4 linked regions of the Arabidopsis thaliana genome follow. The main gene of each other region encodes a partner of the protein of the gene in region 3 in a complex. Each region holds a gene or a part of one and is shown on either strand. Other genes may lie near its edges. The genes, in order: TRIP-1, EIF3C, EIF3A and EIF3K.

Evidence for each region.
Region 1: EIF3A (region 3) and TRIP-1 share a complex: the UniProt entries of both Arabidopsis thaliana proteins name them as parts of the eukaryotic translation initiation factor 3 (eIF-3) complex.
Region 2: EIF3A (region 3) and EIF3C share a complex: the UniProt entries of both Arabidopsis thaliana proteins name them as parts of the eukaryotic translation initiation factor 3 (eIF-3) complex.
Region 4: EIF3A (region 3) and EIF3K share a complex: the UniProt entries of both Arabidopsis thaliana proteins name them as parts of the eukaryotic translation initiation factor 3 (eIF-3) complex.

Annotation. Positions count from the first base shown.
Region 1 is NC_003071.7:19,002,631-19,007,630, forward strand, and holds TRIP-1 (TGF-beta receptor interacting protein 1), read right to left. Parts: upstream 3,103-5,000; 5' UTR 2,878-3,102; exon of another isoform or gene 2,792-2,877; 5' UTR 2,764-2,791; coding exon 2,580-2,763; intron 2,432-2,579; coding exon 2,216-2,431; intron 2,121-2,215; coding exon 1,987-2,120; intron 1,890-1,986; coding exon 1,770-1,889; intron 1,660-1,769; coding exon 1,570-1,659; coding exon of another isoform or gene 1,549-1,569; exon of another isoform or gene 1,477-1,548; coding exon 1,390-1,476; intron 1,290-1,389; coding exon 1,210-1,289; intron 1,102-1,209; coding exon 1,026-1,101; 3' UTR 528-1,025; downstream 1-527. Other genes in the region: GBF3 (G-box binding factor 3), read left to right, coding at 1-6, 92-271; AT2G46290 (Transducin/WD40 repeat-like superfamily protein), read right to left, coding at 3,280-3,355, 3,458-3,537, 3,625-3,711, 3,807-3,896, 3,999-4,118, 4,219-4,352, 4,449-4,664, 4,800-5,000. UniProt on the Arabidopsis thaliana protein: Component of the eukaryotic translation initiation factor 3 (eIF-3) complex, which is involved in protein synthesis of a specialized repertoire of mRNAs and, together with other initiation factors, stimulates binding of mRNA and methionyl-tRNAi to the 40S ribosome.
Region 2 is NC_003074.8:20,832,902-20,839,158, forward strand, and holds EIF3C (eukaryotic translation initiation factor 3C), read right to left. Parts: upstream 4,375-6,257; 5' UTR 4,164-4,374; intron 3,974-4,163; exon of another isoform or gene 3,951-3,973; 5' UTR 3,920-3,950; coding exon 3,896-3,919; intron 3,808-3,895; coding exon 2,053-3,807; intron 1,813-2,052; coding exon 889-1,812; 3' UTR 509-888; downstream 1-508. Other genes in the region: AT3G56160 (Sodium Bile acid symporter family), read right to left, coding at 4,832-4,909, 4,989-5,090, 5,166-5,286, 5,408-5,493, 5,881-5,948, 6,133-6,154. UniProt on the Arabidopsis thaliana protein: Component of the eukaryotic translation initiation factor 3 (eIF-3) complex, which is involved in protein synthesis of a specialized repertoire of mRNAs and, together with other initiation factors, stimulates binding of mRNA and methionyl-tRNAi to the 40S ribosome.
Region 3 is NC_003075.7:6,946,965-6,954,370, reverse strand, and holds EIF3A (eukaryotic translation initiation factor 3A), read left to right. Parts: upstream 1-1,891; 5' UTR 1,892-1,997; intron 1,998-2,260; 5' UTR 2,261-2,317; coding exon 2,318-2,363; intron 2,364-2,469; coding exon 2,470-2,951; intron 2,952-3,039; coding exon 3,040-3,255; intron 3,256-3,388; coding exon 3,389-3,757; intron 3,758-3,845; coding exon 3,846-3,875; intron 3,876-3,964; coding exon 3,965-4,192; intron 4,193-4,307; coding exon 4,308-4,469; intron 4,470-4,585; coding exon 4,586-4,807; intron 4,808-4,897; coding exon 4,898-5,104; intron 5,105-5,185; coding exon 5,186-5,392; intron 5,393-5,481; coding exon 5,482-5,562; intron 5,563-5,718; coding exon 5,719-5,920; intron 5,921-6,025; coding exon 6,026-6,537; 3' UTR 6,538-6,895; downstream 6,896-7,406. Other genes in the region: AT4G11430 (hydroxyproline-rich glycoprotein family protein), read right to left, coding at 129-758, 1,543-1,572; AT4G11410 (NAD(P)-binding Rossmann-fold superfamily protein), read left to right, coding at 7,185-7,290. UniProt on the Arabidopsis thaliana protein: RNA-binding component of the eukaryotic translation initiation factor 3 (eIF-3) complex, which is involved in protein synthesis of a specialized repertoire of mRNAs and, together with other initiation factors, stimulates binding of mRNA and methionyl-tRNAi to the 40S ribosome.
Region 4 is NC_003075.7:16,038,112-16,042,653, reverse strand, and holds EIF3K (eukaryotic translation initiation factor 3K), read left to right. Parts: upstream 1-1,845; 5' UTR 1,846-2,036; coding exon 2,037-2,150; intron 2,151-2,240; coding exon 2,241-2,297; intron 2,298-2,390; coding exon 2,391-2,504; intron 2,505-2,734; coding exon 2,735-2,785; intron 2,786-2,866; coding exon 2,867-2,933; intron 2,934-3,127; coding exon 3,128-3,210; intron 3,211-3,393; coding exon 3,394-3,588; 3' UTR 3,589-4,003; downstream 4,004-4,542. Other genes in the region: CDC20.2 (Transducin family protein / WD-40 repeat family protein), read left to right, coding at 1-150, 253-522, 603-1,184, 1,278-1,421. UniProt on the Arabidopsis thaliana protein: Component of the eukaryotic translation initiation factor 3 (eIF-3) complex, which is involved in protein synthesis of a specialized repertoire of mRNAs and, together with other initiation factors, stimulates binding of mRNA and methionyl-tRNAi to the 40S ribosome.

The sequences.
Region 1 (5,000 bases), on a different chromosome or scaffold from region 3:
TTGTTGGTAAGTAAGCTATCATTAACCAACAAATTATCTTTATGAAGGCGTGTCATTTTCTTGAACATGGCCGGTTCTTTTTGGGTTGCAGGACAAACTGAAATGCTCGGAACCCGAAAAGAGAGTCCCCGCAAATATGTTGTCTAGAGTTAAGAACTCAGGAGCTGGAGATAAGAACAAGAACCAAGGAGACAATGATTCTAACTCTACAAGCAAATTGCATCAACTGCTCGATACGAAGCCTCGAGCTAAAGCAGTAGCTGCAGGCTGATCGATGGTAATTCATGTCGATTTCTACTTAATTTGTCGACATAAACAAAGAAAATAAGTGCTACTAATTTCAGAAAAACTTGATAGATAGTATAGTAGAGAGAGAGAGAGAGAGAGAGGTGTGATGATTATTGATCTATAAATTTTCGGAGAGAGAGAGGGAGAAAGAGAAACTTTTCCTCCAGATGAAAATTTGGTGTTATGGTTTGTTACTGTTAATATAGAGAGGCTTTTCTTTTTTTATAAAATGGCTTCCTTTGTTGCATTTCCTTGTTTTAGACCTGATGTAATTTTATGAAATCGGTGTTATTGCTTTGCGTAAGCTTTTGTTTCTTTTGTCAAGGTTTCATGCATAAAGGATCTTTCTTTTCAGGTTTCATACATCTCTCTCCGAAAATTTATAGATCCAATAATCATCACGAATATCACAAACATTATGAGTCTGTCTTTGGGTGATTTTCTTCGCTACTCTTGAGGACTGTCAATCACACAAGGCATTCTTTTCTACAACCGAGTTTATTTTATAAAAGCTGAATATTAATGCTCGCTCACACATAGAGCAGGTTAATTAACTTGTACTGAGAACTCTGGAAATGAAAACTAAAGATTCTGTCAAAATTCAAAAGCTTTATCATCAAGGTATTTGTATTGGTAGTAAATAAAAACATGAAAATGTTAAAAGAGAGAGAAAACAAAATCCGGAATGGGAGACTTTTTCAAAGATTCTAAAAGGTTGACGTTCAAGTAGTCGGAATCTAAATCTTGATGTTGAAGTAGTCGGAGTCAAAATGATGCAGCCTCACGTAACCGTCTTCACCTCCACTAGAGAAACTGAAATATACATTCCACAAACTCAGTGAGAGAGCCAAAACACACACTCAAAACCTCATCATGTGAGGATTGTGTCAATCAATCAAAATCCAAATGTTGTTAATTTACCTCTTCCCATCAGGATTGAATGCCAAAGCATTTATAGGTCCAAAATGACCTTTCACACCACCAATTTCCTCTTGCAGAATCTATATATTATACCAAACACAATGATACACGGTTATTTAAATATGTGTATTTTCCAGGTTACATGTTTCCAAGTAAAACACTCTTATTATAAACACTAACCTTGTCGTAAAACTTAGCTTCAAACTTTCCAGCACGATGATCAGTGGTAGTCACAGCTGATGCATCTTGACCACCTCCAAGTACAACCTAAAAGAGAGAGCAGAAACATTCACAAAGATAACATCATGCCTTGCTGATTCTGGGATTCGAAATTGAATTTCATGAAGCATTAGTGCATACATGGTTGAGAAGTGGAGACAGGGAGACAGCATTTACGGGCACCACAGTGGTGTAAGTCTTAAGAAGAGTCAGCGTTCTCATGTCCCAAAGCTGAAACAATCAACAAAAGAGAACACTCTATTAGATGATTTATATCTATATGTATAGTGCAAAAATTTGAAACAAGATATACTGTACAAGTAAAAGAAAGAAGCACATGCCTTTGCAGTTTTGTCAAGTGAACCTGTAAGGAAGTGAGAGTCATCAGCTGCTTTGCAGAGCGATGTAATGTCCTTCTTGTGACCCACTTCCTCATCTGATTGCTTGAGCAATTTTCCCGTCTAGTAACAATGGCAGTAGCACCACATAAGGTTTAGTTCATAACCTTAAAAGAGAGAAATTAATACACAAGTAAGGCCTTAAGAAAAATTGAAATACCTCGGCATCCCAGATTCTGATAACTTTATCTTCACCACCACTAACAATAGTTTGGTTCAGGGGACCCCAAACAGCTCTATTGATCCTCTTCTTTCCATCAGGACAATGAAGGACAAGCACAGACTCAGCATCCTCTACACAATTGCATCAAACAAACAATTTCCTTTTAACACATACAAGAAGTTGGCTAAAACGTAAGTAGTAATTCAGCTAGGAATGTACAACTTACGTTCCTCAGGATCTTCCGCAATACGCTTCACATGAATAGCAGCGGTACGGTCCACGAAGTGATCAGTGGTAATCACTGCAAGACGATCTCCAACAGCGAAATCCACAGACCTCGTAGGGGCATTAAACTTGAAAGTGAACAATTCTTTTCCAGATTTTACATCCCACAGCTTTGCAGTCTGATCAGCACTACCAGTGATCAATCTTGACGAGTCTCCTAAGAAATCACTAAACATTCAGCTTTGAAAGACTAAGACGACAGAATTCACTCGATACTATAAACCCTAAACAAGCTTGTAGCTAAGGGGAAACAATGAATCTAATCATCGACTCGATACTATTTGAAGAGAAATTGAGAAACTTACGGGAGACATCACAGCACCAAACAGCACCGTTGTGACCACGGTAAGTTCCAAGGCGCTCGCCGTTATCGGCAAACCAGAGGGTGGGTGTGTGGTCCTTGGCGCAGGAGAAAAGCAGATCTCCTTCTCTGTTGTACCTCAGAAACGTCAATGGACGTTCATGTCCCTTCATCAGGATCGGCCTCATCTTCAGTTTCTTAGGGTTTGATGCGAATCTTTGAAACAGATACGAAATCGAATCAATCAAAAGACAAGAAAAATAATTGAAGAAACGATTACGGAAAACGGCTTTCTTCTTCACCTGTTCACTTGAAGACGAGAGAGACGACGAGGAAGAAGTGCAAAAACCCTAGGAAATCAACTTTGTCCTCTCTTTTGACACTTTTACCCTTTTGTAATTTTTTAAATTACTCGAGATGCCACAGTTTAGCAAAGCTCAGTGGCTTCAGCGTTTTTAGCTTCTTCCCTATTTGATGAGTTCGAACCTCGCCCGTTGCGCCTATTTTGTTTTTTTCCTTTCTCAAAAGCAGTTTCATACGTTTTTTTTTTGTGGGTGCATATGTCTATTTGAAAAGACAAACAACAAGCTTTATCATCAAAGTAGTATATTGGTAATTTGGTAGTACATCAATTCTGAAAATGTTAAAAAGAGAGAAAATATTATGTGGAATGATGAAAAAATGGAAAGACATGTTCAAAGAATCTAAATCTTGATGTTGAAGTAATTGGAGTCAAAATGATGCAGTCTCACGTAGCCGTCTTCACCTCCACTAGAGAAACTGAAAATACATTCCAAAAAACACTCAGCAACAAAGCCTAAAAAACACTCTCATCAACTGAGGATTGTATCAATCAATCAAAATCAAATTTTGTTAGTTTACCTCTTCCCATCAGGACTGAATGCCAAAGCATTAATAGGTCCAAAATGACCTTTCACGCCACCAATTTCCTCTTGCAGAATCTATATATTATAAGACCAAATACACAGTTACATATCTCTTTCCAGGTTACAAGTTTTTAAATAAAACTGTTTTACTGCAACACTAACCGTGTCGTAAAACTTAGCTTCAAACTTCCCAGCACGATGATCAGTGGTAGTCACAGCTGATGCATCTTGACCACCTCCAAGCACAACCTAAAAGAGCGAGAGCAGAAACATTCACAAAGATAACATCAAGACTTGTTGCTTTTGGGAACCGAATTTGAATTTCAAGAAGCATTAGTGCATACATGGTTGAGAAGTGGAGACATGGCGACAGCATTTACAGGCACCACAGTGGTGTAAGTCTTAATAAGAGTCAGCGTTCTCATGTCCCAAAGCTGAAAGAATCAACAAAAAGAACACTCTATTAGATGATTTATCTCTATATGTAATATGTATAGAGCATATTTTTGAAACAAGTAAAAGAAAGAAGCACATGCCTTTGCAGTTTTGTCATGTGAACCTGTAAGGAAGTGAGAGTCATCAGCTGCTTTGCAGAGGGATGTAATGGCCTCCTTGTGACCCACTTCCTCATCTGATTGCTTAAGCAATTTTCCAGTCTAGTAACAATGGCAGTAGCACCACATAAGGTTTAAGCTAATAAAAAAAAAAAGAGAGATATTGATAGACAAAAGAAAGGCCTTAAGAAAGTTGAAATACCTCTGCATCCCAGATTCTGATAGCAGCATCTTCACCACCACTAACAATGGTTTGGTTCAGGGGACCCCAAACAGCTCTATTGATCTTCTTCTTTCCATCAGGACTTTGAAGGACAAGCACAGAATCACCAACCTCTACATCAATTACATTAAATCAATTCCTTTTACCCATACAAAAAAGACATAGGCTAAAAAACATAAGTAGATTTTAACTTAGAATTGACAACTTACGGTCTTCGGGATCTTCTGCAATGCGTTTGACATGAATAGCAGAGGAAGTTCCCACGAAGTGATCAGTGGTAATCACTGCAAGATGATCACCAACAGAGAAATCCACAGACCTTGCAGGGGCACCAAACTTGAAAGTGAACAATTCTTTGCCAGATTTCACATCCCACAGCTTTGCAGTCTGATCAGCACTACCAGTGATCAATCTAGACGAGTCTCCTAAGAAATCACAAACAAAACACTAATCGTTAAGCTATGAAAGACTAAAACAACAAAGACAACGACTTAAATCCTAAACTGAATCCATTCCATCCACTATATACTATTTGAATTTGAGAGGCTGAGACCACTTACTGGAGATATCACAGCACCAAACAGCACCACTGTGGCCACGGTAAGTGCCAAGACGCTCGCCGTTATCGGCAAACCAGACTGTGGGAGTGTGGTCTTTGGCGCAGGAGAAAAGCAGATCACCATTTCTGTTGTACCTCAGGAACGTCAATGGACGTTCATGTCCCTTCATCAAAATCGGCCTCATCCTCGTTTCTAGGGTTT
Region 2 (6,257 bases), on a different chromosome or scaffold from region 3:
TTTGCACGGGAGAAGGAGATGGTATCTCAGCTGGCAATAAGTTGTGGTTCAGAAATTCTATTTGGTATGTAAGCAAAGAAAAAGGACATTTAAATCATCAACATTAATTGTGCAGATTCAACATAGAGTAGAGAGAGAGTGACAATAACTAACAATATGAGTGATGTGAAGATTGCTGAGAGAATCTTTATCCGGCTCTTATGAGTCCTCCAGTCTTGATCAGCTGGCCAAAATGTTTGACGTCTCTGAGCCGCAAGTCCACAGCATTATTATCCTTTTAAGTGCAGCAGAAGAGCCTTTCACTCCACCGGATACTTCTTCAGCATCTTTATCCGGCTTTGGCAAATGCAACCATGTCACTTGTACTAGTTACTACTTAGTACTTACTACGACAAGCTTGTGTTTCTTTTTTGTATCTGTGTTTGCCATACAACATGAGTTATAATAAGATAAGAGTTCCAAAAAAAAAAAAGAATTTTCTCAACAATATTCATTGTCGCTAGCTCCACGAAAGTAGCCGATTAAATCACAGATGTTCTTGATAAGAAATTAATCAAACACTTCATCGAGAGGAAGTTACTAAGCAAACAAAGATGAAAGAGTAAAAGACATCAACAAAAACAGACCTGCAAGCATACGAGAAAAAACCTAAGCCTTCTTCTTTTCAACAAGAATGACGCATAAAAAAAAACTTATTAAACTTTCCAGTAAAGCATTCTTAAAAGTCTTTTCCAACAACTGCCAATATCACAAAGAAAATAAACAATCACAATGCGAGAAAATGTGATGAACATCTCTTAGAAAGAACCATTTGATAACCAAAAGGAATCCAAAACATAACAAAAGGTTGAGACTAAGGTCAACACTGCAGATTTCTCCTCATCCTCTTTAAGTACGAACACCTCGGTTAAGACTCACCATACGGCTTGAGCCATCCATCTGCATACCTCTGTTTCCTGAACCAACTCTTCCTGCATACCCTCCTCCTCGGTTCTGCCCTGACCACTGACCATTTTGTCCAGATGATCTTCCTCCACCATAACCTGATCTGTTGCCTTGTCTTCCTTGTCCGTAATTCGCCTTGTCTTGCCAATATCCACCACCACCTGATGCTGCTCCTGCATAGTCCTGATTGTTGTCCCTTCTCCTTGAACTCAGATCCAGACCACCTCCACCGGTTCTAGATTCCATTGCCCTCTCATTGCTTTCTGCCAAAATCGAGAGTTTCTCCGTTAACTGGAAAGCCAATGATTGTAATCTGCTGTGTTGCACTTCATGGAAGACGATGCATCGTGTTGGCTGATCCCAGCTTGCATGCAGTTCCTCATTAATCATCATCTTACTCACAATGCTGTGGACCTGCGGCTCAGAGACGTCAAACATTTTGGCCAGCTGATCAAGACTCAAGGACTCATAAGAGCTTGAGTATGTGAATAGGTAAGTCCTTAGAGCCTCTTCTTTGATCCTATCCTTCACCATGTCAAGGATGCTGTCACGGTTCTTGAGCAGCCTCCAGACCTCAAGAGAGTTCAAAACTTCAAACGCCTTCTGGAAATCTCCTTTGGTCAGGGCTCTGGTGGCTGCCATGACATGGTCACGTACATTCTCAGGCGGTGCAGTGAATGCTTGCCTTTCACTGATCTCGAGCAGGCGGCGGAAATTCTTGCTAATCACTCTGCGTTTGGCATCGTGCGAGTTTGCAGCCATGTTTGGGACTTCAAGAAGCATGGCACAGATGAGATGAACTGCCTCCAGAAGCTCAAGGTTTAAGTGCATGTGGTACGGCATTTGTCTTCTCCTTTCCATCCTTTCCTGGTAAATCAAGAAATAAACCAAGAAAGTTTTATATCACATATAAATAAACTGAACGAAAAACATAACCATAAGCATCCATGTTGAAATAGAGAAAATGGATTGTGTGAAATGAAACAAAATGAAGAACCCAAAAATGCAACAGTGTTTGTAATCATGTCTCAATCAGAACTATCTGGTCAAACAATTTTTTTTCAATCCTATCTGTATTAAATCTAAAAACAGAAGATAACTAGTTACCTGCTCCGGGGTTTTCTCATGGTATCGGCTTTGCGAGACACCTTGGGCAAGCAACTCTCTCACTCTTTGACCAGAGTACAGCTCGGAAAGGCAGCTATGGGACTCAGTGATCATTCCAGCCCGGAAGGCGCAAAGACCAAGCTGCGCCATGGTCCTGTTAAAGAGAATCTGTGTTGAGATGTCCATGTGCTGGATGTTGTCTTGCAGATGACTCATCAGCAACAGGTCTCTAGCAGTCACAAAGTTGTCCATTAAAGCATGGTGATTGATATCACATAGCATCGCACGCGCTTTGGTCCGCTCATCTCCATTTCTGTAGATAAGGGACACAAGAATATCCATCATAGCTCGGCTGCTCTCTGGGAAGGTAGGCTTACGGGGAACAACCTCCGGAACAACAATAAATGAAGTAGGAGGTCCACTTTCCTCTTTGGCCTCCTCAGTTTCTTCTTCTTCTTCCACCAACTCAGCCAATTTCCTCATTGCATCATAAACTTCCTGGGGCTTGTAGTATATTGCCTCAACACGTCTTAAGGCTACCTTTGCAGCAGCTTTAAAATCACCCATCCGCTCAAAGTAGTCCTGGATGTTCTGAGCAAGGGCCAAGAACATGGGCTCATCCCTTAGCCTCTCAACATACTCACGGGTGTGAGGATCAATGCATTGCAAACTCTTGAAAAACTCAGTGTCAACCCTCTCCAAGAATGCAACCAAATTTCCCCAGACCCGAATTTTTCCATCATAATCTGTTGGCTTTGAAGTTTCGTTCTCATCAGGCTCAACTGTGTCATCCACAACAATGTTACTGTACTTGACGAGAATGTCCAGTATGGTGAGCATGTTAAGCACGCATTTCTTCCAGACATTGATAGGCATGTGCCCGCTGAGACCTGGATTCACATCAAACTGAGCCGAAATAACGCTAAACAAGATTTCAAGCTTCTGTGCAGGAGTCTTGGCAATCTTTGTCAAGTGCGTAAGCTGATCAACTAGCTCAAATCGAGCAGTGCCCTTTTTTCCACGAGCAGCCACAATTTCCTTGAACTTCTTGTTGACCCAGTCCCAAGTGATCTCTTTAGGATCTTTATTCATTAGCTTCTCCAAAAGCTTATCTTTTTTGCTCAGCATCTTCTCCCAAGTGAGATTATCAGTAGGTTCATCCACATCGGACCCAGGATCTACGGTAGGTCCGTCGATGGAAGAATCATCATCATCTTCAACCTCATCATCATCATCGTCATCATCATCATCATCTTCAGGTTGTTTCTCTTCCTCAACTTCTGGAGCCTCACGATACTTGTTGATATCGTCTTCGTACAACTTATTGTTCTTCTTCAATTTCTGTTTCATTGAGTTCAAAGCCTTGGAGTTACTAGTACTCATCTTCTTCTTGGCTTCCTTATTGGCAAGAGCTTCATTCAAGAAATCCTCCAACATAACAAGCGTCTTGATATACAAGGTAGGAGGCTTCACAGCCTCAGTAATCCTCATAACCTTCTCAAGCTGTTTGTTAACCTTATCAAAGTTTTCTTGAAGGCTGACCCAATCATTGATCTTCATAGCATTCTTCATCTGATCAACAGTGTAGGTCATCTCCTCAAAACGTTTATCCTTAGCAGGCTTAACCACACGTTTCGTATCAGTATCATCATCATCCTCACTACCACTTTGAAGGTAACGGTTATTGACGTCATCATTCTGAACCTCATTAACCTCTACCTCATAATCACTTTCATCTTCACTTTCACTTCCAACCTATCAACATAACAAGTAAAAATCATTCAGAAACTGAAGCAAGTAAAGGTAAAGAGAGTTTATAAACAAGAGGTCTGTTGAAGGAAACCTGAGTGAAAAAACGAGACGTCATCTTTTTAGCTGGAAGCGTAAGCAACAAGAACCTGATACACCAAAAGTAACAAATCTGAATAGTGAATCAGAGGAACGAAATTATAAGTAAAACAAACCAATCCATTCGAAGAACATAATCTGAACGAAACAATCGTGTCACAGATACAGACTCGTATCAACAAAGAATTAGAATCGATTCGAATCAATCTACACCAAACTAGAATCGAAAATTTGTTACGCTAGATGATGAGGAACAAAATTACCTGAATTCAGAAGATGGAGATGGAGATGGAGATTTGCGAAGGAGATGCTTGAGGAGGATTACGAATCTAAACAAAAATGGTGTGTAGCCGTCCAAGCATTTTGGTCGAGATGAAAAAATATATAGAATTAGGGTTTCGTGATTTACTCACTAAACCGGATTCGATTTGATTCTATTTCCATACCGAAACTGAAAACCGAGGACAATTAAAACGCTCTCGATCGGTTTTTATTTTATTTACAAACCGAATTGGTCGAACCAGGACTAAATGAAATTGTAGTGATGGTTAGTTCAATTAAATTGAGAAAAGAACCGGTTCTTAGTCCTCTTTCCTAGCTGCTTATCAGACAGATTACATATGAATTGCTTTGTACGCTGGTAACGTCAAATGACTAAATGTTTTCAAATATAGATACAAGTTTTTTTTTTACATAGTTTCATAAATCATACAAATTGGATCAGCAAACACCGACCGGAATCTCTAGAGCATATACATACAGAAAGAGAGAGAGAGAGAGAGATGGTCAATGATCAACTAAGCTTTGGTGATTGGAAAGATATCAAAATCCCCAGTCTTGCTGCTATGTATATAACTGACATTCAGTGTGTTTAGGATGTAACCTTCTCCACAGCATTGGTTTCATTGCTTTCTATCTCTCTCTCTCTCTCTCAAGCTGTCTTTACTTTAGTCGAAGTATCTTTTCCTCTCCGGAGCCATAAGTTGACAAGAACTGAATCAATCATGATCTGTAACATTCCAGATTTACGTCAATAATTTATAAAATTATGCACACAAGTACATGATGATTATAATACAATTTGTAACCTGGTTCAGGTGTGCAGCTACACAAGGAAGAACCAATAGCCCTGTCTCACCAAATGCACCTCCTAATTGCTCTACTACCGCCACCATTACCGGTAATGTTTTCTATGCCACCACAAGAAAAGAACTCCCAAATTTAAGAGATCAAAATCGGTTCTAAAAGGCAAACTCTATTATTACCTGGCTTGAAACGAGCAAAACTGCAGTGCTGTTTTCCTTGGAGCTCTTGCTACCACCTGTAAGACCGGAGAGGATGCGGATTGAAACAGCATTGAATGCTAGTAGAGAAAGATGCAGCAATCTGTAAGAAGACGTAAGAATCTTCTGTCAAACGTAATCCGCATTTCTAACACACAAGCCAAATATTTCCATGAGCTTCTTCACTTGGTATCTTTTCTATATGTTAAAAGAAGAATGCGTACATTCCAATGCCAACTGCTGCAAGGAAAACCTTAGGTTGAACGGATAGTAGCAGTGATCTTGACCTGCTCACTTGGATCCATGGCACCTAGAATATTAATCATGGAATAAACACTATTAAGTTCCCAAAATAACCAGGTAAATGCAATAACAAAGTCAGACCAGTTGAAGTAGCCAGGGAAGCAGAGGTTAAACTATAAAAAGGAAAAAAGTATTAAGTCCTTCTATCTCCAAAGTCATAACCGTGACTGCAAATATGGTTTTTGCAATTTAGTAAAAGCTTTGGATTGGCACATCAATGCCACGGAATGTTGAAATCCCAAGCTATCATACAAGAAAAGAGAAAGTTTTAAGTACAGGCATCTAAAATGCCAAGTTTAAGATTCCTGCAACAAAGCAAAACTCCAAGGATATGACTTCAGAAAGTTATTCAAGGGGTGTAGAAATTACGGGAGACTAACATTTCATATCTTACCAAACTGAGGCAGATTGCGTTGATTTTCGAAAAGAGTTTACGGTTATTGTCAACAAAGTTTGCGAAACCTGTATCACACATTTCAACAAGAGTTTCAACAAGGTCAGAAAGTAGGCAGCGATAAGCATATATATTTATTATAAACAGAACCATTTTGATCCATTGTCACGATAAAGTGACTGCTAACTATTTAAAATGGTATGTATTCAATTACTTTCACCAGAGAAGTAAAATATAACAAATGGCGCTCACCTTTGAATGATTCTCGAATAACCTATAACAGAAGAAACCAAGTATGTCAAAGCTCGATTTTAAAAACGTGTGCAAAATGGCAAGTGATAGAACTTCATGCTGAAATGACTGTTTGTGAAAGGTTC
Region 3 (7,406 bases):
AAAACATTTACGAGAAAAAAATATGGGTGAATTGCAAAACTAACTGTTTTTGATAATTTATTTAAGAAACTAACACTATAATATACAAAATGTAGAAACTAACACTAGAGGGTAGTAAACTTACTAAATTAGTCTTTTTGATTGGAGATGGTAGTGGTGGTGATGGTTGTGGCCGGCGGTGGTGGATGGAGTTGATGGTGGTCGGAAGTGTTGGTGATCGGTGTGGTGGTTGCCGGCGGTGGTGGTGGTGGCCGGTGGTGGTGGTGGCCGGTGGTGGTGGTGGTGACCGGCGGGGTGATGGTCGGCGGTGGTGGTGGTGGTGGTGGTGGTGGTGGTGGTGACCGGCGGTGGTGGTGGTGGCCGGCGGTGGTGGTGGTGACCGGCGGGGTGATGGTCGGCGGTGGTGGTGGTGGTGGTGGTGGTGGTGGTGGTGACCGGCGGTGGTGGTGGTGGCCGGTGGTGGTGATGGCCGACAGTGGTGGTGGCGGTGGTGGTGGTGGCCGAAGTTGGTGGTGGCCGGAGTTGGTGGTGGCCGGATTTGATGGTGGCCGACAGTGACGGTGACCGGTGTTGGTGGTGACCGGAATAGATGGTGGCCGAAGTTGGCGGTGATGGCCGGCGGTGGTGGCAGGCAGTGGTGGCCGGCGGTGGTGGCAGGCAGTGATGGCCGGCGGTGGTGACCGGTGGTGGTGACCGGTGGTGGCCGGCGGTGGTGACCGGCGGTGGTGGCCGGCGGTGGTGGCCAGCGGTGGTGGTTGCTACTGAAGGTATTGAGGCAACAAGGGCAAATTGAGTAATATTACATATAATACAGAGAATATTATAATTACATAGTTAGGATGGTTAGTTAGTGAATTATAGTTTTTTTGTTAGTTATTTCTGCAAATTTCCCAAAAAAATATATCAATTTCCACTAATTTTTTTTATGTACATGTTGGATTCTAGAAAATCAATGAATTTAACAAAACAAATTCATGATCATCGCACAAATTGGCTAAAATATTGTTGATTTTGGAATTGGATGGAAGGTTAATTGTAGATTATAACGGAATTTAAATTGTTTGAATCTTGGAGTAACTCAAAAATATAGATCAAAATGATTACATATGGCTATGTTCTATTGCAAATCGTGAGCGACAGTTCCGACAAAAAAAATACGTCGATAGTAAAATAATTCAAAAATAATCTGTTATATTAATTTTCCATCACATATTTCCAATGCCTTGCTTAAATATATATTTTGAACTGTATAATGTTCTTATACTCTTGTTACTTACCTAGTATAATTAAGAAAAAAACAGTTAAAAGTAAGCTAACAATCCCTATTTGTAATAGAAAAAATCATATTCAAATTTTCAATTTTTTTATATAAATGCAATAATCATAATTAATTTTTTTTATATGAATTTATAATTGCCCAATTATAAATATTAAAGCGGGTTAACACAATTATACTTTAAAAAAAATTTAATTGAATAACATCAGATTCTATATTACACTTTAAGTCATTAAAACTCTTTTGAAATCATAAACCAATAACACCCTTTTACAGTTGAATTTTTTACCTTTCATGATTTTATGTAAATCAATTGTTTTTTTGAAATGAATTTTTGTAGTGGCATTTTATGTAATATTTAATATGTTGTTGGCTATTTACTTAAATGTATGTTTAGTTAATAATATAGAAATATCAAAGTTAATTGCTAAAAATATTATTAAACAAAATATAGAGAGTATATTGTAAATGATAATTCGAAAATGAAATCCATAAATTTTGTTGATCTCAATTGAATCACATCCCAGTATTAGACAAATTGGGTTTTATAAACACTAAGAAGATAAAACGGGGTCATTTCGAAACCGTAAGAAAATAGGATGATTTCTGCAAATATGGGTAATATATATGTAGAACGATAATATTAATACCAGAAACCCTAGAGTTGCTTCCGCTTCGCTTCTCGTCTCTCTTATCAGTCTTCTCTTTTCACGGCTACAAGGTTAGTCCTAAGTTTCGGCTCTGTTCTTGCATCAGTGATTGGATCTCTACTGCCTTTTAATCAAATCTCATTGAATTGATCTGGGTTAGGGTTTGGGTCAGGTTATCGAATCTTTCTGTGTTATTTTGATTCTATGAAATGAATTTAGGGTTTGGGCAAGTTTTTTCTGGTCTATGTAGCTTCCATCCTTTTCTGAGATATCTGATTGGGTTTTTCGGATTCTGGTGATCTCTGTAACAAAATCGCTTCTCTGTGTTTTTCAGGCTAATTGAGAGTGTCCCTTGCGTTAGAGTTTGTTACTAGCTTTTTTCGTCTGAAACATGGCGAATTTTGCCAAACCAGAGAACGCGTTGAAGCGTGCTGATGGTAAGTTACGAAATGTTTTCGTTTTAACATCCATTTGGTCAAATGGATGTGGTTAGGGTGTGTATGAATTGAGATTGTGTTAAACACTTTTTTTTTGTGTGTGTAGAATTGATCAATGTTGGACAGAAACAAGATGCTCTTCAGGCGCTTCATGATCTCATTACTTCCAAGAGATACAGAGCTTGGCAGAAACCGCTTGAGAAGATCATGTTTAAGTATCTTGATCTTTGTGTTGACTTGAAGAGGGGTCGATTCGCTAAGGATGGATTGATTCAGTATCGTATTGTTTGCCAGCAAGTGAATGTCAGTTCCTTGGAGGAAGTTATCAAGCACTTCCTACATCTTGCTACTGACAAAGCTGAGCAAGCTCGGTCTCAGGCGGATGCCCTTGAGGAGGCTCTTGATGTTGATGACCTTGAAGCTGATAGGAAGCCTGAGGATTTACAGCTAAGTATTGTCAGTGGGGAGAAGGGAAAAGATAGGTCTGACCGTGAGTTGGTCACCCCATGGTTTAAGTTTCTGTGGGAGACATACAGGACAGTCCTTGAGATATTGCGAAACAACTCAAAGTTGGAAGCACTTTATGCGGTTTGTTTTCTTCTAGGTTAAGCTTATTGGTGATACCTCTGATTTTAAGTTGATTGAGATTGAAGACTTGTACTTTATAATCTTGTAGATGACAGCACATAAAGCCTTCCAGTTCTGTAAGCAGTACAAGCGAACAACAGAGTTCCGTAGGCTTTGTGAAATTATAAGAAATCATTTGGCAAACCTGAACAAGTACAGAGACCAAAGGGACCGACCTGACTTATCAGCCCCTGAGAGCTTGCAGCTGTATCTGGACACAAGGTTTGATCAGTTGAAAGTTGCTACTGAGCTTGGACTTTGGCAGGTGCGTTTTTGTTTTCTATGTGTATTTTTCTGATGCTACCTTCTCTATTCCATATTTAGTTTGGCTGTATATAGCTTATCCTCTGTATAATTACTGGAAATAAGTTAGTATGGTTCGTGATGTATCTTTGCAGGAAGCTTTTCGCTCTGTTGAAGATATCTATGGATTAATGTGCATGGTCAAAAAAACGCCCAAGTCATCTTTATTGATGGTTTATTATTCCAAATTGACTGAGATCTTCTGGATTTCTTCTAGCCATCTTTATCATGCTTATGCATGGTTTAAGCTGTTTAGTCTGCAGAAAAATTTCAACAAGAATTTAAGCCAAAAGGATTTGCAGCTAATAGCGTCATCTGTTGTCTTGGCGGCATTGTCCATTCCACCATTTGATCGGGCTCAGAGCGCATCCCATATGGAACTTGAAAATGAGAAAGAACGCAATTTGAGGATGGCTAACCTCATTGGATTCAATCTTGAACCTAAATTTGAGGGCAAAGATATGGTAACATAGGTTCTTATGTTGCTTCATTTTTATTTTGCGCCCTTTCTTTCTGGTTTAGTATTCTAATTCCATTTCCTTCCTGTTTCAGCTTTCCCGGTCAGCTCTTCTGTCAGAGCTGGTGAGTCTCTAGCTGTTACCCTGTCTGTGGTTTAGAATATTTGTCGACTTACAAATATCTGATTTGGAGGCTGATTTTTATGCAATTAGGTTTCAAAAGGTGTTTTGAGCTGTGCATCTCAGGAGGTCAAAGATCTTTTCCATGTTTTGGAGCATGAATTTCACCCACTTGATCTTGGCTCCAAGATTCAGCCTTTGCTGGAAAAGATTTCCAAATCTGGTGGGAAACTGTCCTCAGCTCCTTCTTTACCAGAAGTGCAACTTTCCCAATATGTTCCTTCTCTGGAGAAGCTTGCTACTCTGAGGCTACTTCAACAGGTAAGCCTTGTTCTCTATGTTGTAGGTCAATACCCATTCAACCATTTTGGATTTTTCTGGTGGTTTATCCCTTTTTCTGCATACTAAATGTTCTATGTTCCGATTTTATTTTCAGGTGTCTAAGATTTATCAGACAATAAGAATTGAGAGTTTATCTCAGTTGGTACCCTTCTTTCAATTCTCAGAGGTAGAGAAGATTTCTGTTGATGCTGTGAAGAACAATTTTGTTGCCATGAAAGTTGATCACATGAAGGGTGTTGTAATTTTTGGAAATTTGGTAAGCCTCTGTTAAAGCTTCAGCTCAACACTGATTATATCATATGTAGTTGAGTAATATAATTTTTAACTTATTGACTAAATACTAATCTATTTGATCAACTGTTTGTATATTAGGGTATTGAGTCTGATGGACTGAGGGATCATCTGGCTGTTTTTGCCGAGTCTTTGAGCAAAGTAAGAGCTATGCTGTATCCTGTCCCAAGTAAAGCATCAAAACTAGCTGGCGTTATACCAAATTTAGCAGATACTGTTGAGAAAGAGCACAAAAGACTGCTTGCTCGTAAATCAATCATTGAAAAGAGGAAGGAGGATCAAGAGCGTCAGCAACTAGAAATGGTAGTTACTTTTCCATGGTTATTTGCACAGCTCTCCTTTTACGCTGTACCTGTTTATGAAAATTCCTTTATTTGATGTTTACTTTTGAAGGAACGTGAAGAGGAGCAGAAACGGCTTAAGCTTCAGAAGCTAACTGAAGAGGCAGAACAAAAGAGACTTGCAGCAGAGCTTGCAGAGAGAAGAAAACAAAGAATCCTTAGAGAGATAGAGGAGAAGGAGCTTGAAGAAGCCCAAGCTTTACTGGAAGAGACAGAGAAGCGCATGAAAAAGGGAAAGAAGAAGCCACTTTTAGACGGAGTAAGTTTACCAATATGTTAGCTATTATATAGTTCACTGATTAACTTATTACTAATGTCGGTTGGGTTAAACTAAATATAGGAGAAGGTGACAAAGCAATCTGTGAAGGAAAGGGCCTTAACTGAGCAGCTCAAGGAAAGGCAAGAAATGGAGAAGAAGCTTCAAAAGCTTGCCAAAACGATGGATTATTTGGAAAGAGCAAAGAGAGAAGAGGCTGCTCCATTGATTGAAGCTGCATATCAGCGAAGACTGGTAGAGGAAAGAGAGTTTTATGAGCGTGAACAACAGGTACTTACTGTTTCAGTAGTTTTTCTTTTCTTACAACTTGGTTCTGTGTTGGAAGTATATGAGGTCTTAAAAGCTCTTCTCCTATGCAGCGTGAAGTTGAACTCAGTAAAGAGCGTCATGAGAGTGACTTGAAGGAGAAGAACAGGTTGTCCAGAATGTTGGGTAATAAGGTCAGTCTTTGACATGTCATGTTGTTTCTCTTAATGTTCATCTTTGATCTGAATCTCTTTTCGTTATTGAATTAATTTTAAAGCTCTCTAGTTTCTTACATTTTTCCTGTAACTTTTCCTTCCAATGTACTTATAATCGAATCTTTCTGTGCCCAGGAAATATTCCAAGCACAAGTGATTAGTCGTCGACAAGCAGAGTTTGACAGAATCAGGACGGAGAGAGAGGAGCGTATCAGTAAAATAATCCGAGAGAAGAAGCAAGAAAGGGATATCAAGAGGAAGCAGATATATTATTTGAAAATTGAAGAAGAAAGGATTAGGAAGCTGCAGGAAGAAGAGGAAGCTCGCAAGCAGGAAGGTGTGGACTTGCTTCCATAAATCCACATCATTTTGACTTTGATATTGAAGTTTTTCTTAATAACCCCTTGTTTCTGTTTATTTTTTGGGTTTTCCTCTAATGTAGAAGCTGAGAGGCTCAAGAAGGTAGAAGCTGAACGCAAAGCAAACTTGGATAAAGCTTTTGAGAAGCAAAGGCAGAGAGAGATAGAGCTGGAAGAGAAAAGTAGGCGGGAACGAGAAGAGCTGTTGAGAGGAACTAATGCACCACCTGCTCGCCTTGCAGAGCCTACTGTTACTCCTGTTGGAACTACCGCACCAGCAGCAGCAGCAGCAGCAGCAGGAGCACCAGCAGCACCTTATGTTCCGAAGTGGAAGCGCCAGACTACTGAGGTCTCAGGCCCATCAGCACCAACATCATCAGAAACTGACCGACGGTCCAACCGTGGGCCGCCTCCCGGAGATGACCACTGGGGAAGCAACAGAGGAGCCGCTCAGAATACTGACCGGTGGACTAGTAATAGGGAAAGATCTGGACCTCCAGCTGAAGGAGGAGACCGTTGGGGTTCTGGTCCTAGAGGCAGTGATGATCGCCGATCCACATTTGGAAGCTCCAGGCCCAGGCCAACACAGCGTTGAGTAATAATAATTTTTTTGGTCTCAATCTCCATGGGAATGAATGAAAAAGGTTATCTCTGGATTTTCAACATCACAGCACTCTTCTTTAGCCCAAACCTGTCTCTTCTTCTTTTGAAGATTGCTCATCTTTTATAAGTTTTTATGAAAGATTTTAAAACATGTTAGACTCGTTTTTTGCTCTACACACCCAGAGAGAGTTGTTATTTCCTTCTTCGGTTGGATCTTTCTTTGTTTGTCCAATTTATTTCCAACTTTCTGCTGTAAAAACCTTTGACATTGATCAGCTTCTCTTTCAAGCAAACTTTTTGTTAATTGCTTATTATTAGTTTATGAAGAACAATAAACGAATACCAAATTTCACATTTAACAACATTTGTATCAAAAATGTAAATAGTGTATACAAACATCTTTATTCTTATCTCTGGATTAAGGAAGAAAACAAATGAAACTGTAATTAATACTTTTATACGAGATTCTTCAGTGCCTTGTTTTGAGAACAGAGCATGGGCACATTGCAAAAGCTCTCGGAAAAAGAAATTTTATAATTGGTCAACTTTACTAGGGTGTGTGTTTGATCATCAGCTAGCGTTGGTTTGGTTGAGATTAGACTTTAATTTTGTGGTACAGAAGATAGAAACAAAACAAACATGTGGCCTTTTTGGTGGAAAGGAGCATCTGGGTTCTCTGCTCGTTCCACAGCTGAAGAAGTCACTCATGGAATCGATGGTACTGGTCTCACTGCTATCGTCACAGGTCCTCTTCTTCTTCTTCTTCTTCTTCTTCTTCTTCTTCTTCGTGCAGATGTTTTCAACTTTTTTATGATCTATGTTCAGTCTATAGTTTAATTTCTTGGTTTTGATCCTGCCCTT
Region 4 (4,542 bases), 9.1 Mb from region 3:
CAATTGGCTGAGACCATGAACTTGAACCACACAAGGATTCTCGCCTTCAGAAACAAACCTCAGGCTCCTGTCGAACTGCTTCCGAGCAATCACTCTGCTTCTCTTCACCAACAACCCAAATCTGTAAAGCCTCGTCGATACATTCCTCAGGTATGTACTGTATTTATTGCGTTTGATCCTTAAAGCTCACTTACTGGTTGCTGCATTAGAGTTGTATTGATCTGTTGCTAAACTTTCTGTTGTGATTAACAGACTTCTGAGAGAACCTTGGATGCACCTGACATTGTTGACGATTTCTACCTCAACTTGCTGGACTGGGGAAGTGCAAATGTCTTAGCCATAGCGTTGGACCACACTGTCTACTTGTGGGATGCTTCCACTGGTTCTACATCTGAGCTTGTGACCATTGATGAGGAGAAGGGACCTGTCACAAGTATCAACTGGGCTCCTGATGGTCGTCATGTTGCAGTTGGACTCAACAACTCTGAAGTCCAGCTGTGGGATTCTGCATCCAACCGTCAAGTAATTACTACTCTCTCTCTTTTATGTTGAGATATAATATCCGGTGTTCTTAGTCTGATGTGTTTCTCATATTTCTGCAGCTGAGAACATTAAAGGGTGGTCACCAGTCAAGAGTAGGATCACTGGCATGGAACAATCATATCCTTACTACTGGAGGAATGGATGGACTGATCATCAACAATGATGTGAGGATCAGATCACCCATTGTGGAAACTTACAGAGGTCACACTCAAGAAGTTTGTGGGCTCAAGTGGTCAGGATCTGGACAACAACTAGCAAGTGGTGGCAACGACAATGTGGTACACATCTGGGATCGTTCTGTCGCTTCCTCAAACTCAACCACACAATGGCTGCACAGGCTTGAGGAACATACATCTGCTGTGAAGGCTCTTGCGTGGTGCCCTTTCCAAGCGAATTTGCTTGCAACTGGTGGTGGTGGAGGAGACAGGACGATAAAGTTCTGGAATACTCACACTGGGGCTTGCTTGAATTCAGTAGACACTGGTTCCCAAGTTTGTTCGTTGTTATGGAGCAAGAATGAAAGAGAGTTGCTTAGCTCACATGGGTTTACACAGAATCAGCTTACACTTTGGAAGTACCCATCCATGGTGAAAATGGCTGAGCTCACTGGTCATACATCAAGAGTTCTATATATGGCCCAGGTAACGTCATCAATTTCTTTAAGTGGTGAAGTAGTTTGAGTCTTTGAGGTCATTCAGTCCTTAAACTTGTGTTGTTTGTTGTGTTTTCTACAGAGTCCAGATGGTTGTACTGTAGCTTCAGCAGCAGGAGACGAGACCCTGAGGTTTTGGAACGTTTTTGGAGTACCAGAGACTGCAAAAAAAGCTGCACCAAAAGCAGTTGCCGAGCCATTTTCTCATGTGAATCGTATTCGATGAAGCTGTTGAAGACTAAAACAACAAGGAAAACCCATTGATTGTTACAAAAAGAAACTATATATTTTTATTTTTATTTTATTACCAAAGGATTCATTCTTCGTGAATATAAAGATTACTTGTATATATTGAAATTTGAAAAAAGAAAGATTATGATTTTATACTCTTGAAGGATATCCACATTTATTATTCTACTGGAAACAAAGTGAGACTTCATGAAGTTGTGATCAGAGAACTCGTAGATGCTGACAGTTTTGTTTGAAAAGATGTTCACTGGTGAACTTTTGGACCATGGTTAATCGAATGCAAACTCTAGTGTAGTATCAATCTTTAAAAGCAAACTGAGAAAATATTTATTTACCGAGTCTGTGGCATCAAAATGGCTTAAAAATAGTTATTTACTAAACAACCCTTTGTAGTTTCTCTGTCATCCTAATTTAACCCAAACGTTTTGTCAATTGCACCATTAGCCCAAACGACAAAGCTTTGTCGTTTTGGCTTTTAAACCCTAGATTCGTCTTATCAGCGAATCTCCTCTGCACATTCCTCAGTGATCTATCAAAGTTCGAAGAGACCGACGCAAAAGGGACAGAAACGGAGAAGGAGAAAGAGGCAGAGATGGGAGTAGAGATCCAATCGCCGCAGGAACAGAGCTCTTACACCGTTGAGCAGCTCGTCGCCCTTAATCCTTTCAACCCTGAAATCCTGCCTGATCTCGAAAACTACGTTAACGTGCAGTTTCCTTTCCCTTTTCTCTCAAGCCGGATTCTGTTGTAGAAATCGTGTTCCATTGATTGTTGTTGGTTTCGTTATGATTTTCAGGTTACATCGCAAACGTATAGTCTGGAAGTAAACCTATGCTTGCTTCGGCTCTATCAGGTGCTCTAGTTGTTCTTAAGCTGGACCTTTTGATACCAAATTCAAGAGTTTTAGTGTCTCTTTTCGTTAATTGGTATTGTTGCTTTTATGCAGTTTGAGCCTGAGCGCATGAACACTCATATCGTGGCTCGAATCTTGGTCAAGGCTCTTATGGCTATGCCAACTCCAGACTTCAGCCTTTGCCTCTTCTTGATTCCCGAAAGAGTGGTATTCTTCTTTCCTCTTAACTTCACAATGTTTTGCTTTCTTACATATATAGCTTATCGTAGATACAGAAGAAACGATTGTTCAAATGTTTCTGACTCAAGTTATTATGCCATTCCAAGTTATTTCTGTCAGTTCAGTCTGTGTACTGAGCATTCATGATAAAGTGTGAGTTTCAATGTGTTGGATTCTTGAGGACTAATAAATGTACTTGTTTGGATTGTGTGTTTCAGCAAATGGAGGAGCAGTTCAAGTCACTAATTGTTCTATCACACTACCTTGAGGTACGCAAACATCAGTATTAGTTAGTTGAGAGTTGAAAAGGTGTGCATTGAGTATTTAAAGCACTTGTTTTTCTTTTGCAGACTGGGAGGTTCCAACAGTTCTGGGATGAAGCTGCCAAGAACCGTCACATTCTCGAGGCTGTTCCAGGTAACTAACTTCTGAATCATAAATAAATCGTCTACTAATAACAAATTTCTAGATGTAGATTTGTTACTTAAGGATATTTGTGTGTAGATGTCTTATGGTACGAACAAAGTCCTCAGTAGTGGTTTATGGTACTGTCTATTCATTTTATGATTGTGTCTAGTGTAGATGTCTTATATGCGAGAGATTAAATGCAGGTTTTGAGCAAGCTATTCAAGCATATGCAAGTCACCTTCTTAGCTTAAGCTACCAAAAGGTTCCAAGATCAGTGCTGGCTGAGGTATGATGTTTGGTTTATGATCTCGTTTTCACCACGGATAGCTTAAGTCATCAAAATAGTAGAACTTCGGATGTGAAATCTTTTACTTTCTCATATAATTTTCTGTTACGAATATTCCACATCATAGTTCTGGAAATCTAATTTGTTGACCTTTTATTTGTCAATAAATGACAATTTTCACAGGCTGTTAACATGGATGGTGCATCTCTAGACAAATTCATCGAGCAGCAAGTGACTAACAGTGGATGGATTGTTGAGAAAGAGGGTGGAAGTATTGTCTTACCACAAAATGAATTTAACCATCCGGAGCTCAAGAAAAATACAGGTGAGAATGTTCCCTTGGAACACATTGCCCGCATCTTCCCCATCCTTGGTTGAACCAATTCATGAGAACACTGCAAATTTTCCTTTTGTCTCTTGTTATCTTGTGATGTACACTTTTAAGACACCGTAATGTGAATTTTGGCAATGGCCTTCCTCTTTGCAATTTGACAGATTTTCTTAAAAATCTAGTAGACCGAGACTTTGCCATAATTAGTAGATCTTCATAGTCTGAGCTCTGCTTCTTACCTTTTTTTTTACCTTCCATGGATTCCAATACTGGTTTCTCAACAAGTGTTGGAATTGGCTCGTTTCTGATTGATTATCTTCTGTTTACTTCATTACATCTAAATAAACTAAACGAATCTTCAGACAACCCAAACAATTGTCTTCTTTAAAAAGCAAAGGAAAAAAAAAACTTTTGTTTAGGTTTCTTGGAATATAGAAACTGACACGGCAAATTTGTATTGAGAAAGTTTGAAATACAAAGAGACTGTCTATGTCTTGTCGTCCTCTCTACACAGATCACATACGAAGATTGACAGCCATCCATTTGGAAGCTCACATGTTGACACCAAATCATGTCACGTGCACAATTTTCTCTTTTCCCATGCATATTTTGACTGCTCCCTATGTGATAAATTTGACTGATTAAACTATAATTAGTTAGATCATCTCGTATCTAAGATGATTGCTTAAAACAATACTATTATTCTACTAACAACTAGGTTATTCCCAAGATCATAACTTTTGATTTTGATGTAACTAGTTTTGTAATTTTGTACATATATGAGACTTTTTTGAATTGCTTAACAGAATAAATAATTGAATTTTATGAATATAATATATAAATTTTCAATTTGATCGACAACAATGAACGGTGTTTTATTTATAATTGTTTTTTTGACAATCATGAACCTAATGATTTGTTTTTTCTATTTTATTTAGTCGACATAATGAAGACTAATGAAGATACAATATGTGATTGAAGTGAACAAGTTAGATTTAATT